Diceros bicornis minor: one gene and its partner. The protein of the gene in region 1 interacts with the protein of each later gene in a pairwise test. Links are inferred from orthologs where the notes say so. Each region holds a gene or a part of one and is shown on either strand. Other genes may lie near its edges.

The links. The genes of interacting proteins can lie anywhere in the genome.
Region 2: the proteins of ARR3 (region 1) and GNMT interact in a two-hybrid assay, tested with the Homo sapiens proteins (2 studies listed by BioGRID and IntAct). The two-hybrid records come from large-scale screens. The link is inferred for Diceros bicornis minor from reciprocal best matches to the Homo sapiens genes ARR3 and GNMT.

What each region holds. Positions count from the first base shown.
Region 1 is NC_080781.1:63,648,365-63,655,294, forward strand, and holds the start of ARR3 (arrestin-C), read left to right. Parts: upstream 1-3,912; 5' UTR 3,913-3,914; coding exon 3,915-4,106; intron 4,107-4,227; coding exon 4,228-4,287; intron 4,288-4,470; coding exon 4,471-4,538; intron 4,539-5,193; coding exon 5,194-5,329; intron 5,330-5,518; coding exon 5,519-5,603; intron 5,604-5,864; coding exon 5,865-5,937; intron 5,938-6,329; coding exon 6,330-6,467; intron 6,468-6,930. UniProt on the Homo sapiens protein: May play a role in an as yet undefined retina-specific signal transduction. Could bind to photoactivated-phosphorylated red/green opsins.
Region 2 is NC_080753.1:22,694,321-22,701,386, forward strand, and holds the start of GNMT (glycine N-methyltransferase), read right to left. Parts: upstream 3,017-7,066; 5' UTR 2,765-3,016; coding exon 2,559-2,764; exon of another isoform or gene 1,738-2,558; coding exon of another isoform or gene 1,631-1,737; coding exon 1,503-1,630; intron 1,057-1,502; coding exon 940-1,056; intron 735-939; coding exon 592-734; intron 487-591; coding exon 365-486; intron 283-364; coding exon 111-282; 3' UTR 1-110. UniProt on the Homo sapiens protein: Catalyzes the methylation of glycine by using S-adenosylmethionine (AdoMet) to form N-methylglycine (sarcosine) with the concomitant production of S-adenosylhomocysteine (AdoHcy), a reaction regulated by the binding of 5-methyltetrahydrofolate.

The DNA of each region.
Region 1 (6,930 bases):
TGCGTGAATAAAGTGTTGTATAACAAAAATCTATCTGGAATCTCTCGGTATTATTTCTTACAACTGCATGTGAATCTATGACGATCTCAAAATAAAAAGTTTAATTTTGGGCCGGCCCGAAGCTTAGCTGTTAAGTGCGCGCGCTCCGCTGCTGGCGGCCCAGGTTGGGATCCTGGGCGCGCACCAACGCACTGCTTGTCCGGCCATGCTGAGGCCGCATCCCACATACAGCAACTAGAAGGATGTACAACTATGACATAGAACTATCTACTGGGTCTTTGGGGAAGAAAAAAGGAGGAGGATTGGCAATAGATGTTAGCTCAGAGTCGGTCTTCCTCAGCAAAAAGAGGAGGATTAGCATGGATGTTAGCTCAGGGCTGATCTTCCTCACAAAAAAAAAAAAGTTTAATTTCAAAACAGCAATGAGAGAGAAGTCGTAAATACCTAAGGTGGCCTTATGTTTGATTATAGAAACAAACAAAGTTGGGAAGCAAATGCAACAGATATTAATAGCAGTTATGTCTCGAATAGGATGTATAATGCTGGAGCTTTGATTTATCTTTTTGTTTGTATTTTCTGATTTTCAAACAATTAATAAGTATTATTTGTATAATAAACACAAATATAAATAACTTTAGAATAGATGTTGAATTAAAAAAAACAAGCTATTTCCTAGCACAAAAAAGGATGATTCTAAACTGCTAGAGAGCCAATAAGATCTTGGGCGGGGGGTGATGCCCTCCCCACATGCGAACAGCTGGATGTGCCAAAAACAATTCATCTGATTAACCCCCTCACCTCAGAGGTTACTGTATACCCTTCTGCCTCACCCCTCCTGATCTTTTTCTGTCTTATCCCTCATCTCTTTCATTTCTTTCCTCCCTCTGCTTCCTTCCAGCCACCTCTTTTCCTCTCCTTTTCATCTTCGCTGTCTTTTCCTTTCCTTTGTCCCTTTCCTTTTCCTTTTCTTTCTCTCTCCCTCTCCCACTTTAATTGGCCATAATTGAGAACCAAGGTGAATTTATTTGTTGTATCTTTTGAAAATTGTTAAGTTTGCCTTCACTGCAGAAAAATTAGAAAATACAGATGAAGGAGAAAGAGACTGTAATCCTATCACTCAGAGATAATCATTAATAATATTTTAGTTCATATTTTCTGTGCAAAACTATATTTTTATTTAAAAAATGCTATACTATAAATAATGTTTTCTAATCTTCTGTTTCTTCTATGTCAATATATAAAAATCTGTGAATTTTTAAGTTGCCTAGTACTATATTGTATGGGTGTACTGTAACATATTTAGCCAATCTTCAACTGCTGGACATTTTTTGCTATCATAAACAACCCTGTAAAGTACATACTTGTATATATATCTTTTCATACTTGTCCAATTATTTCTTCAGACTACATGCCTAGAAAAGGAATGAATGGTCAAAGGGTAGTCACACATTTTTACAGCTTTCTATTGCCAAATTGCCCTCCAAAATGTACCAATTAACTCGCTCTCCTGCAGTGTATGAGGCTGCCCGTTGCCCCAGTCCTTATAAACACCACCACTATCATTACTTTCAGTCTTTGTTGTATCTTTTGAATATAGATTAATTTCTCTTGTTCTTAATTTTAAAAGCAGACAATCTGGCTGTTTGATATTTTCATCTCTTAAAAATACTAAAATAAGTTGCTTTCTAGTAGTGTGTAGCTGTTGGTAGTTTTCTTTTTTTTTGGGTCAGGGCTCCTGATAGAAATAAGATTCTCCACCCCTGTTCGACATCTTTCCTTCCCTCGATCTCTGTCACTCTGCCCTTGGCCAGGTATCCCTCTATGCCCCATCCCACACTCCACGAGTGCATTAAAGAGGCTTTCCATTTGCCCCGGATCTTAGGTACCAGCTGCAAAGTATGAGTTCACTTATAACTGGCCAATATTCCCACAATTATCATCATCATCCACATTTATAATTAGTTTACAATTTCCAAAGGGATTTCTTATACATCAGTTCCTCACAACCATCCTATGAGTTAAGTTGGGCACACACGAGTCTGGGCTTTGGAATCAGACAGGCCTGGGTTGAAATCCTGGGCCGTCACTTAACCGCCCTGAGCTCATTTTCTCTACCTGTAAAGTGGAGATAATAATACTTCAGAGGATTGTTTTGAGGTCTAAATAACATATATAGAGCTCTTAGTGCAGTCCTATTATTGACAGGTGAAATAACTGAGGCTCAGAGAACTCAAGAGATTTGTACAAGTCATATTCAAGCCCAGGTATCCTGACCCTAGAGAATTATGTAATGAATAGCCTCTACCCACCACCTAGCTTTAAAAAGAATTATAGCAACAAACTGAAGATTCCATGTGTCCTTCCCTAATCCCATTCCCCTTCCTCCCTCCCACCTCCTTCTCTCCTTGCCTCCACCCAGGTAACCATTAGCCTGAATTTGGTGTTTATTATTCTCATGATGCTTCTATACTTCGACTCCATATTTATATATCTGTGAGCAACTTTGGTATTCTTCCATATGCTTTTTTTTTTGCTGAGGAAGATTCACTCTGAGCTAACATCTGTGCCAATCTTCCTCTATTTTGTATGTGGGTCACCACCACAGCACGGCCACTGACAAGTGGTGTAGGTCCACACCCAGGAACTGAACCCAGGCCGCCCAAGCAGATAATGCCGAACTTAACCACTAGGCCACAGGGCCAGCCCCCTGTTCTATATGCTTTTAAACTTTATATACACGGTATCAGATTGTGCATATCATTCTGCACCTAGCTTTTTTACTCAATAGTTTTCGAGACTTAACCATGTTGATACGTGGAATTATAGTTCATTTATTTTAAACTCAGTTTAGTATTCCATTATATGACTATACCACAACTGTATTACCCATTCTCCTGTTGATAGACATTTAAATTATTTCCAATTTTATGCCATGACAAACCTTGATGCAATAGACATTCTCATATCGATCTCCTTATAAACATGAGCAAGAATTTCTCTAAATTCTCTTTAGGTCATAAGATATGAACAGATTCAGTTTTACTAGATAGTGCCAAACAGTTTTCCAAAGTGGTTGTACTAATGTATGCTTCCACCAGCAGTGTATAATGAACTCCTATTGCTACACATCTTTACCAACACTTAGTATTGTCAGACTTTGAAATTTTTGACAATCTGATGGGTGTGAAATGTTCTCTCATTGTCGTTTTAATTTGCATTTATCTGATTATTAATGAGAATGGACATGTTTTCATATCTTATTGGTCATTCTGTTTTGTACATCTGCAAAGAGGCTATCCATATTCTTTGCATCCCTTTTTTTTGTTGTTGTTTTGTTTTGTTTTTTGTTTTGTTTTTTTTTTTGCTGAGGAAGATTCGCCCTGAGCTAACATCTGTTGCCAATCTTCCTCTTTTTGCTTGAGGAAGACTCGTCCTGAGCTAACATCTGTGGCAGTCTTCCTCTATTTAGTATGTGGGTTGCTGCCACAGCTTGGCCACCGATGAGTGGTGTAGGTCCACGCCCGGGAACTAAACCCGAGCCACCAAAGCAGAGTGTGCCAAACTTAACCACTAGGCCATGCGGCCAGTCCCTTTGCACACTTTTATACTGGGACATTTTTATTCTTGATTTGTGGGAGTTCTTTATATATTATGAATGGTAACCTTTTGTTTGTTATATGTGTTGCCAATATTTTCTCCCAGGTGTTTGCTTGTTTCATTGTTTATAAAGACTCTTAATGTAAAGAAGTTTTAAATTTTACTGTAGTCAAATGTATTAATTCTTTTCTTTATGGCCATATTGTTTCGATCATATTACATTGTCTCTCTATGTCTTCCTATGAGCCATTTAAGACCTCCTTTTCTCCTCAGGCCTGACAGGTCACTCTCTTCCTCCTTTGCCTGCAGTGTTTGTCATGTTAACATGTGCCTTTCGCTATGGCCATGATGACTTGGATGTGATTGGTCTGACGTTCCGCAAAGATCTGTATGTACAGGTCCTGCAAGTGGTCCCAGCTGAGGCCACCAGCCCCCAGGGGCCCCTCACAGTCCTACAGGAGCGACTGCTGCACAAGCTGGGGGACAATGCCTACCCCTTTACTCTGCAGGTACTGACCCCAAGTCCTGGGCAAGGTTTCCAGGGAAGATTAAGAGAGGAAGCTAAAGAAAGAGAAGAGGGGAAAGGGGTCCCTATTTCTTCTGTTTGCTGACCTCCTTCTGATCTCCTAGATGGTTGTCAACCTGCCCTGTTCGGTGACACTGCAGCCAGATCCTGAAGATACAGGAAAGGTGAGGTCTGGGTTCTGAGAAAGAGGGATAGACGGTCAGCGCTGGGAGAAGGACAGAGGGACAAATGGACAAGATTGAAGAAATAGACAATTAAAGGATGAGGTCAGGCATTTCCTTATAGGCCCATGAAGAAGGGAGGGATAGTGTTAGAAATGAGCTCTCTTTGCCCCTGCCCCTTTGCAGGCCTGTGGGATTGACTTTGAAGTGAAAAGTTTCTGTGCTGAAAACCTGGAGGAGAAAATCTCCAAGAGGTATTCTTTGGTCCTCTCCAAAATCCCTGCCTCCAACCTGTGTCAGGAAATAGATCTTGTTCTCAGGACAGAAACAGTGCTACTTCTAACCTCCATAGCACCATCATTACCAACTCAGATGCCCAGTTCTGATTCCCCTCTGACTTCTCTTCTTTGCTCTAGGGCAAGGGTCAGCAAACTTTTCTGTAAAAGGACAAAAAATAAATATTTAGGCTTTGTGAGCCATACAGTTTCTGCTGTAACTACTCAACTCCGCCAGTGCAGTGCAAAAGCAGCCACAGATAGAATGTAAATGAATGAGCATAGCTGTGTTCCAATACAATTTTATTTATGGACACTGAAATTTGAGTTTTATGTAATTCCAAACATCATGAAATATTACTTTTCTTTGATTTTTTTCAACCATTTAAAAATGTAATAACCATTCTTAGCTCGCAGGCCATACAAGAACAGGCAGCAGGCCAGATTCGGCCAGTGAGCCATAGTTTGCTGACCCATGGTCTAGATCCCTACACTGAGGGTCTAGAGGAGTTCTCTGAGGGAGGCCTTCCTCTACCTCTAACGTCCAAGTAAAGACTGGGTTATGGTGTTGGCACGGGAAATGTCTGTGGGTCCCAAAGCAGACATTCTGGCTAACCCCTTGGCCTCTACTCAGAGACTCTGTGCGCCTGGTGATTCGGAAAATACAGTTTGCACCCCTGGAGCCAGGCCCTGGCCCCTCAGCCCAGACTGTCCGCCGCTTCCTTCTGTCAGCTCAGCCCCTACAACTCCAGGCCTGGATGGACAGGGAGGTTTGTGACCCCCCCACTCCCTGCCCCCTGCCCTACAACCCCTCTGAAACTCTTTCTTCACTGATTTTTCTACTTGGGTAGACAGGGATGGGAGCCAGGGTGGCAATAGTGCTAATGAAATAGGAATTCTAGGTCTTGACCTGGGCATTCTCCCTCCAACCTTGTGATGGGCCTCTCCTCCTGCTTCAGGTTCACTACCATGGCAAACCCATCTCTGTCAATGTTTCTATCAACAACTGCACCAACAAGGTCATAAAAAAAATCAAGATTTCAGGTGAGCTTCTTTTCCTATCCTCCTGCACCTGGTCCCAAATCCACAGGTCTTTTTTCAAAACTCTGCCCCACTTACCCAGTCTGCATTCATCTAGGATTTCCCTCCAATGCAGGCTTACCAAAATATGTGTCTCTGTCCATGAGCACATTTGAGTGCATCATGCATAGTGTGCCCATGTATAAGGTCACTTCTGAGGGCAGTGAGTTGGGGTCTTGAGGATGACTGACTGATTATAGTCATGTGCTTTTCCTGGCTGTTCAGTTGACCAGATCACAGATGTTGTCCTGTATTCACTAGACAAGTACACCAAGACTGTGTTCATTCAGGAGTTCACGTGAGCTGGTGCTGGGGCCGGGGTCAGAAGAACCAAGGGGTGGGGTGATGGGAAGAGGGCCAGGGGGCTGGAGGCAGAGGAAGGGATTGGAGAAAGAAGGAAGCAAGTAACAGCCCAGGACTGAAGAAAGTCAAGGTGAGGGCTGACATGGAGAAAGGGAGGGACTCCCAGGAGAACTAGAGGGAGGATCCACAAGAGGATCATCAAAATGCTGAGAGAGGGAAGGGGCAGAAGGATTTCCCACCAGAGTGAATGTTCCATTCTCCACAGTTAGACATGCCAGGTCTCTGGGATACTCCAGTATATTCATGAAATTATGCAAGATACTCTTGGGAATGAAAGTACCCTTAGTCGGCAAGCCTAGCCTAAGTTCTTCTCTTCTCCTTTCAAAGGGAAACTATAGCTGCTAACTCCAGCTTCTCCAAGAGCTTCACGGTAACCCCACTCCTGGATGCCAACTGCCAGAAACAGGGCCTGGCACTGGACGGCAAACTCAAGCATGGTGATACCAATCTGGCCTCCAGCACGATGTAAGCTCAAATGTAACTCCCCATTCTCTATCCCCAACACATTCTGCATGCTATATATACAGGTCTAAGGTTTCACCTTCAATGAAGCCTACCTACATTTTTAAAATGTCCCTAGGCTAGTGTTCAGAGATCCCTCCAGGCCTGAGGGCTAACAGTAAGCTAAATAATGCCCATGGGACCAATGGCAGGCTTAGGTCATAGGCAACAAGAAAGGAAAAAATGGGGCCGGCCCTGTGGCTTAGTGGTTGAGTGCACGCGCTCCGCTGCTGGCGGCACTGACGCACCGCTTCTCCAGCCACGCTGAGGCCGCGTCCCACATACAGCAACTAGAAGGATGTGCAACTACGACGTACAACTATCTACTGGGGCTTTGGGGAAAAAAAAGGAGGAGGATTGGCAATAGATGTTAGCTCAGAGCCGGTCTTCCTTAGCAAAAAGAGGAAGATTAGCACGAATGTTAGCT
Region 2 (7,066 bases), on another chromosome or scaffold:
CCCCCAGGATCTGCACCAGGGCTGGACTGGGTGTGGGGCTGCTGTTCCCCACCTCCCCAGACAGAGCCCAGCAGTGCCTAGGCAGAGGGTTGTGGGACCTTAGGCCATGCTCAGTCCGTCCTCTTGAGCACGTGGATGAAATAGCAGGGAATGTAGGCCTGGCCCGGCTTGTAAGGCTTGAAGTCACCCAGGACGCCATGCTGGCACTTGCCCCCGAAGGCTGCTCGGAGCAACTCCGTGAAGGGTGCCAGGCAGTGTGGGTAGTAGGAGAGCCGGAACTTACTGCAACAGAGCCCCCGGACCACCATGAGGCCTGGTGGCCTCAGCACCCCCCAGCTCACCCCCTGCCTAGCCAAGTCGTTACCTCAAGTGAGGAGAACTGTCCTGGCCAGCCTCCGGCACCTGCACTGTGTAGTCCAGGGTCACCATGTGGGCCTTGTTGTTCACTGTCAGCACTGAGGTCGTGATGTCCTTGGTCAAGTCACTCTGCAGGTGATGGTGCAGGCTGCATTAGCCTCTGCAGCCACTATGGGGCCTGGACCTCAGGCTAACTCCTCCCGCTCTGGGCCCTCCCTCCCCCAGTGGCCCCACCTTATAGTAGATGTTCTTCCCTGGGGGTGCACAACCTGTGCTGAGGATGTGATCGTAGTTGCGATGATCGATAACCAGCAGGCCCCCTGAGCGCACCATGCTCGCAATGTTCTTCAGTGCCAGCCGGTGCTCACTCTGGTCTCCTGAGCTCCGGGCAAGGGCAGAGAGGCTACGTCTGCTCAGGGCCCCCAGCACCAGTTTCCCTCCCATCTCTCTCCTCCCCAGCAGTGCCAGTGCCAAGGCAGAGAGGGGCAAAGCAGTCTGCTCTGGCAGGAGAGCAGGCATCCAGGGGTCTGGGGACAGGGGTGCAGCTCAAAGCAAGCCATGCCCAAGGCCACACCCTCTCACCTTTGCAGTCCGGCAAGTGGGCAAAACTGTTTCCAAGGCAGATGACGGCATCGAAGCCACCCCCTGGAGGCTTGGGCACATCTTTGTCCAGAGTCATCCAGTTGGCTTCTTCGATGACTGGGGGCCAGGAAGGAGAAGAGAGATCAAGGTGGCACCGTGGTACCAGCAACACCCACCTCCACCAAGTGCTGTCCTGCCTCAGTTTCCCCTTCAAGACACACACAGGGACTCCCCATCCAGTGAGGGGGAAGGGATCATTATGGACTTGGAGAGGGAAGGGAGAAGAGGGGTCAAAGGAGGAGGAAGCCATGTTGGGAAGGAGGGCTCTGTGCTTATGGGTTTTTATTTGGGGGGAGGGACAAGATGCTATCAACATAGTTAAAACCAGCCCCTTATAACTGATGCCTCATTCTGGTGCCTAAGCCTCCCTTTTCAGGGAAATGACTAATTTTGCTGTCCCCTTGAGGGAAAAAAACACTCCATCCTAGAAGCTAAAGAGGCCCAGGGCAGAGAGAACCATGTCCTTGGTGGCTGGGCTGGGAGGGCCTGGCTGGACCACATACCCCACTTGTCAAAGGCGGGCTCGTGCCGCCGATTCCAGCGCTCTTTAAGCGCATACTTCAGCATCTTGTCACTGGCGTCCACGCTCATCACGGTGAAGCCCTCTTCCACCAGCATGATGGAGTCCACCCTGGGCAGGGCCAGGGATGAGAGGCGGAGGGGGCAGTCAGGGGCCTGGGAAGGCAAGGAGGAGGCCCTGTGCTGGACACTCAGTCTCCTCAACTCCCCAGAGCCCATTCCTCTGCTTCCTCTCCACTGACCTCGAATGACCTGGCAAATCTGTTTCTTATCACCAGGTAGCAACTTTTTTTTTTTTTTTTTTTAGCACTTACTGGAGTCAGGCGCTCTACAAACGTGCATTAATCCTCATGGTAACCCTGTGAAGTAGATGGTGTTATCCCACTTGAGAGGGGCAAACTGAGGCTCCTGGAAGTCAGGTGACCTGTGCACAGGAGGTAGTATGGTATGGTGGTATAGAGCACTGGCCAGACCCTACCTGCCCTGGGTCTGTTTCTCCTCTCCACAAGAGGAGGATCCTTGACTGTCTGAGGCGGAATTTCCACAGCTGTAAATGGGATATCACCACCCTAACCCTAGCCCTAACCCTCGTGGGATTTTATGAGGATTTTTGAAACGGATGTATCAAAAGCTTCGGGCACAGCACTTGGCACGAGCAAAAGTGAACAAATGTGAACTGTTACGGCTGCCCAAGACCATCACACAGGAGCAATGTTCGGGCCAGGACCCAGGCTTACATGGTCTGGCCCCAAAGCCGGCTCTGGCGCTGCCGGGGCGAACCGGCCTCCCCACCGCGCTGTGCCCACGCCCCCGCTCTCACCCTGGGCCTCCTCAGCCCCCTCCTCCCGCCAGCCTCGCCCAGGCCCTCGCCCTGCCCGTTCTGCCCGGGCAGACACCCTCTCCCGGCCCTGGCAGCCCGCCCGGCCCAGCTCCAGGCCGGCGAAGGAAGCTGCTCGGACGGGCTCGGCCGTGGTCCTGCGGTCCGGCCCGGGCCGAGCCAGACCCCGCTCCCCCGTCCCACTGGCCCCTTCCGGGCTCACCCGGTGCCGCAAGCCACGTCGAGCACCCGCTGGCAGCCGTGCTGACGCAGCAGGCCGATCAGCCAGGCCTTGTACTCGGCCGTGCGGCTGCGGGTGTCCCCGACGTAGAGCTGCCACACGCGCGCCGCCTCGCCGTCCGCGTACTGGTCCGGGAGCCCTTCAGCCGCCACCCCCAGGGAGCGGGTCCGGTACACGCTGTCCACCATCCTGCGACGAGCCTGGCTCCGCGGCGCCCGCTCCGCCTTTATAGGACGGCCCTTCGGAGCCCCGGGGGCCCCACCTGCCCAATGGCAGGTGAGCGCGGGGACACGCCCCCGCTGGGCTCCCGGCCCGGCGCCCGCAATCCTGGACCAGCCCTTCTCCCGGCCTGAAGATTCAGCCCTCTGAACGATCCCACGGCTGGAAAGGACCCTCCCGGCCCCCTGCCCGCTTAACCCAGGTCGCAGGAGAACCGGGGAGGAGCCAGGAGAGCTCGGAGCAGTGAGATTGCCCACTCCACCTCCACTCAAACTGGAAAGAAAGGAAAGAAAACTTCACAGTCCACACAGAGCTGAGGCCCAGGACTGGATCAGACCCAACGAATGAAGATATTAGCATATCTAAAGAAAGAATGTCCGGCTGAAGGAGGGCCTGGGTCAGCCAGGGAAGGGAGGAATGGGGAGTCTCTGAGGATAATAATGCTGGTCTGGCCATCCAAGTCCAGGACCAGTTCTGGACCAAGGGCTCATCCCACCCACCTGGAGGCAGGTGCTCCTCTGTCCTGTAGGTGACACATCAAGCTTTTCCCTGAGCTGTCCAAGGCAGAGGCTGGTCCTTCCTTCCAACTCCCCGCCAACCAATCACCCTTCTAAAGACCATCTGCTTTTCATGGAGGCGCCCACAGGGTGGGAAGTCCAGGGTGAGGGGTGGGAGTGCTTGGTGCAATTATATTGCTCATTGTCACTTCATAAATTGCTCTTTTGGTTTGGTTGGTGTCCATCCACCCTTCCTCCCAAAGCAGAAAGTCTCAACCTAGGACAAAACCCTAGACTGAGGTGGTTTCGGGAGGATGATGCCACCCCAGTGAAGCCCAAAACAGCCAGAATGGCCTTCCCCATCTGTCTCTCTTCTGGCTTCAGAAAGAGGGAGGTATGGAATTTAGAACAAAGGAGGCTCTCCTCCTCTCACTCCTTTATTGTCTGTAGAATCTGGGAGCTGGAGGAACCCCAAAGGTCACATAATCATTCTTTCTATTTGCAGCACACAGACTGCCTCACATGGACCTGTCCATGCCCAAGCAATGGAGCCTTGTGCTCACACTGACCCTACAGACAGGTCTTTGGCAACAGGCTTAGAAAGGCACTGTACTGGGGGGTGCAAGTAGACCCAGAGTTTTCTTTCATCAGAATATTCTGAGGGAAATCCACTCCACCACTCCTAGACTTTGAAAAACATCTCATGTTAAGAGAATTATCCTCTCAGTTGTGGGCAGCAATCTGTGTGCTGTGTCCTTGCATCCAGTCATAATTGTAACCACCTCTCTCTATGGGGTCAGCTGTTTTTATGTACGCGGACTCTGAGAAAATTAGTTCCTTCCTTCGGTAGGAAAACGCATTCTTTACTTAAAATAAACTTGATATTTATTTTACCCTAAATCAGGAGGAGAGTAATTAATTATTTGGCTATAAATTGATGAGTTGAGGGTTAAATTGTTAACTAACAATTTGGTCATATAATAAGTAGTGAAATTTTAAGGAAAAATAGACCTATTAAATAATTTACTTTTGTCATATTGGAGTTCTAAAATTCCCTTAAGAAATTTGGAGAAAAATGAAGGATGACGTTAAATTAGAATAACAACCAAAATGATGGGGAAATGATTTCTTTGTCACTATCTGCAAGTGGGTTGGCTGGATATAAAATAGTTGAAAAGTTAAGTGGCTGGACTGAGGCAATTTATTATTTTTTCCCTCACTATTGCTTTCTTTTTCATTTACTTTTGCCTCTTAACCTTCTCTGAATGCATGTGAGGTAAACCTGGGGTTTTCTTAAGGCTCAAAATGCTGTTGGGAAATGTCACCTTTTTAGAAAGACCAGAAACATCATGTCAACAGGTCATAAGATTTACCAGACTCTGTGGGTCTCAATATTTAAGGACATGTATTCTTGTGATTTTGAATACTTCCTTCTCCTGATATTCATATAAATGATAGTGAACCCTGGGAGAAAAGCACTGATTTGTAAATTGAGACATCTCTGCCCACCCTTTCATTTAGAAATTGCCATTCAAAAGACTCCATCTGGAGCTCTTTGATAAAACTAGCTCCAAAAAAAGTATTTTGATTTTATTCTTTTGTTTCATCTAGAAACAAAACTACCTAGAAAAAAAAGGAAAAAAGTTACCTAGAACAACTATTTAAATATCTTTTTTTTTTTAATTTGGTGTAACATGATTCCCCAACCTCTCCCTAGCAAAATTTTTTTCTTGTCCAGAAACTATTTCAGCTCTTTTTTTTCCTTTCCTGTTTTAAAACAAAGTTTTTGAATTTTTGGCATAATGCACACCTCTGAATGTTTGTATAACATTTTTGTGATTGGTTTGCAGTCTTTAGAGGATAAAGGCCATACTCTACATACTGATAAGGAATTTTATTTAAATATTTGGTTTTTATTTAAATATTGATGCTTGTGATTTGTGAGAAGCAAAATTTTACCCACAGAACCATAATATGAATTTTAAAAATAATATGAATAATGGTGGTAAATTTGGATTAAAAAATTATAGATTGTATGTAGCTTCTAAATGTACTTTCTATTTCAAAGACAAGATTTTTCGTTCTGAAGTTAATAATTATTCGATTTCTATGCCTGTGGCGTAGTGGTTAAGTGCTCACGCTCTGCTGCTGGCGGCCTGGGTTCGGATCCCGGGTGTGCACCAACGCACCGCTTGTCAGGCCATGCTGTGGCGGCGTCCCATATAAAATGGAGGAAGATGGGCACAGATGTTAGCCCAGGGCCAGTCTTCCTCAGCAAAAAGAGGAAGATTGGCATGGATGTTAGCTCAGGGCTGATCTTCCTCACCAAAAAAAAAAAAAAATTATTCCATTTCTTTCTCATCCAGAGGCATTAAAAAAAATGTCGAGATCATAGTGCACATGAAATTTCATGGACTTTTTTTTTCTTTTTTCCTTTTTTTTTACTTTTAACTGTCAAAAGCACATTTTCTTCTCTTGACCATAAATTACTTGGCCTTAAGCATCTTTTTATTTTATTTATTTATTTATTTATTTGTGAGGAAGATCAGCCCTGAGCTAACATCCATGCTAATCCTCCTCTTTTTGCTGAGGAAGACTGGCCCTGAGCCAACATCCGTGCCCATCTTCCTCCACTTTATATGGGACACCGCCACAGCATGGCCTGACAAGCGATGCGTCGGTGCGCGCCTGGGATCTGAACCCGGGCTGCCAGCAGCGAAGTGCGAGCACTTAACCGCTACACCACGGGGCCAGCCCCACTTAAGCATCTTTTTAATGGCTACACTGAGTGGATGTGCTGCACCATGTTTAATCATCCCCCAAGTTCTGAACATTTAAAATACTCCCACAATTAAGAGAGTGAACATGTGGATGATTATGATCAAATCATTTTCCAAATGGAATTTTTCTATTAATTGATACCGTCACCCAAAACAAATGTTTCTTTCAACTCTTCTCTACATGAAGATATCATTCATTGACATTTCATTATGTAGAAAATTGTATCTAATTGTTGTAATCATCTTTTGCGTGTGTGTGTGTGAGGAAGATTAGCCCTGAGCTAACATCCATGCCAATCCTCCTCTTTTTGCTGAGGAAGACTGGCCCTGGGCTAACATCTGTGCCCATCTTCCTCTACTTTATATGGGACGCTGCCACAGCATGGCCTGACAAGCGGTGCGTCAGTGTGCACCTGGGATCCGAACCTGGGCCCCCAGCAGCGGAGCGTGCGCATTTAACCACTATGCCATGGGGCGAGCCCTGTCATCGTCTTTAATCACTACCAAAATGTACCAATAATTGCAGTCTTTCATCTCTAAACTGTTTGTCCATGTCCTCTGCCCAAAGAAATATATTGAAACTGCCTTTTGTTTTACTTGATTAGTCCCTATGAATTTTATTTTATTTTTTTTAAGGTTTCTTTTTTTTTTAATTTTTTTTATTTATTTTTTCCCCCAAAGCCCCAGTAGATAGTTGTATGTCATAGTTGCACAGCCTTCTAGTTGCTGTTTGTGGGATGCGGCCTCAGCATGGCCAGAGAAGCAGTGCGTCGGTGCGCGCCCGGGATCCGAACCCGGGCTGCCAGCAGCGGGGCGCCAGCACTTAACCGCTAAGCCACGGGGCCGGCCCCGTATGAATTTTAGATAAGCCAAATCTGACGCCCTGGACCATGGAAGAGACGGTCATAGACTATAAGTCAATCTACAGTTTGACTTAATTGAAAATAAGAATAGGTGATATTTTTAATATGCAACGTTTATTATTTGGAATTGG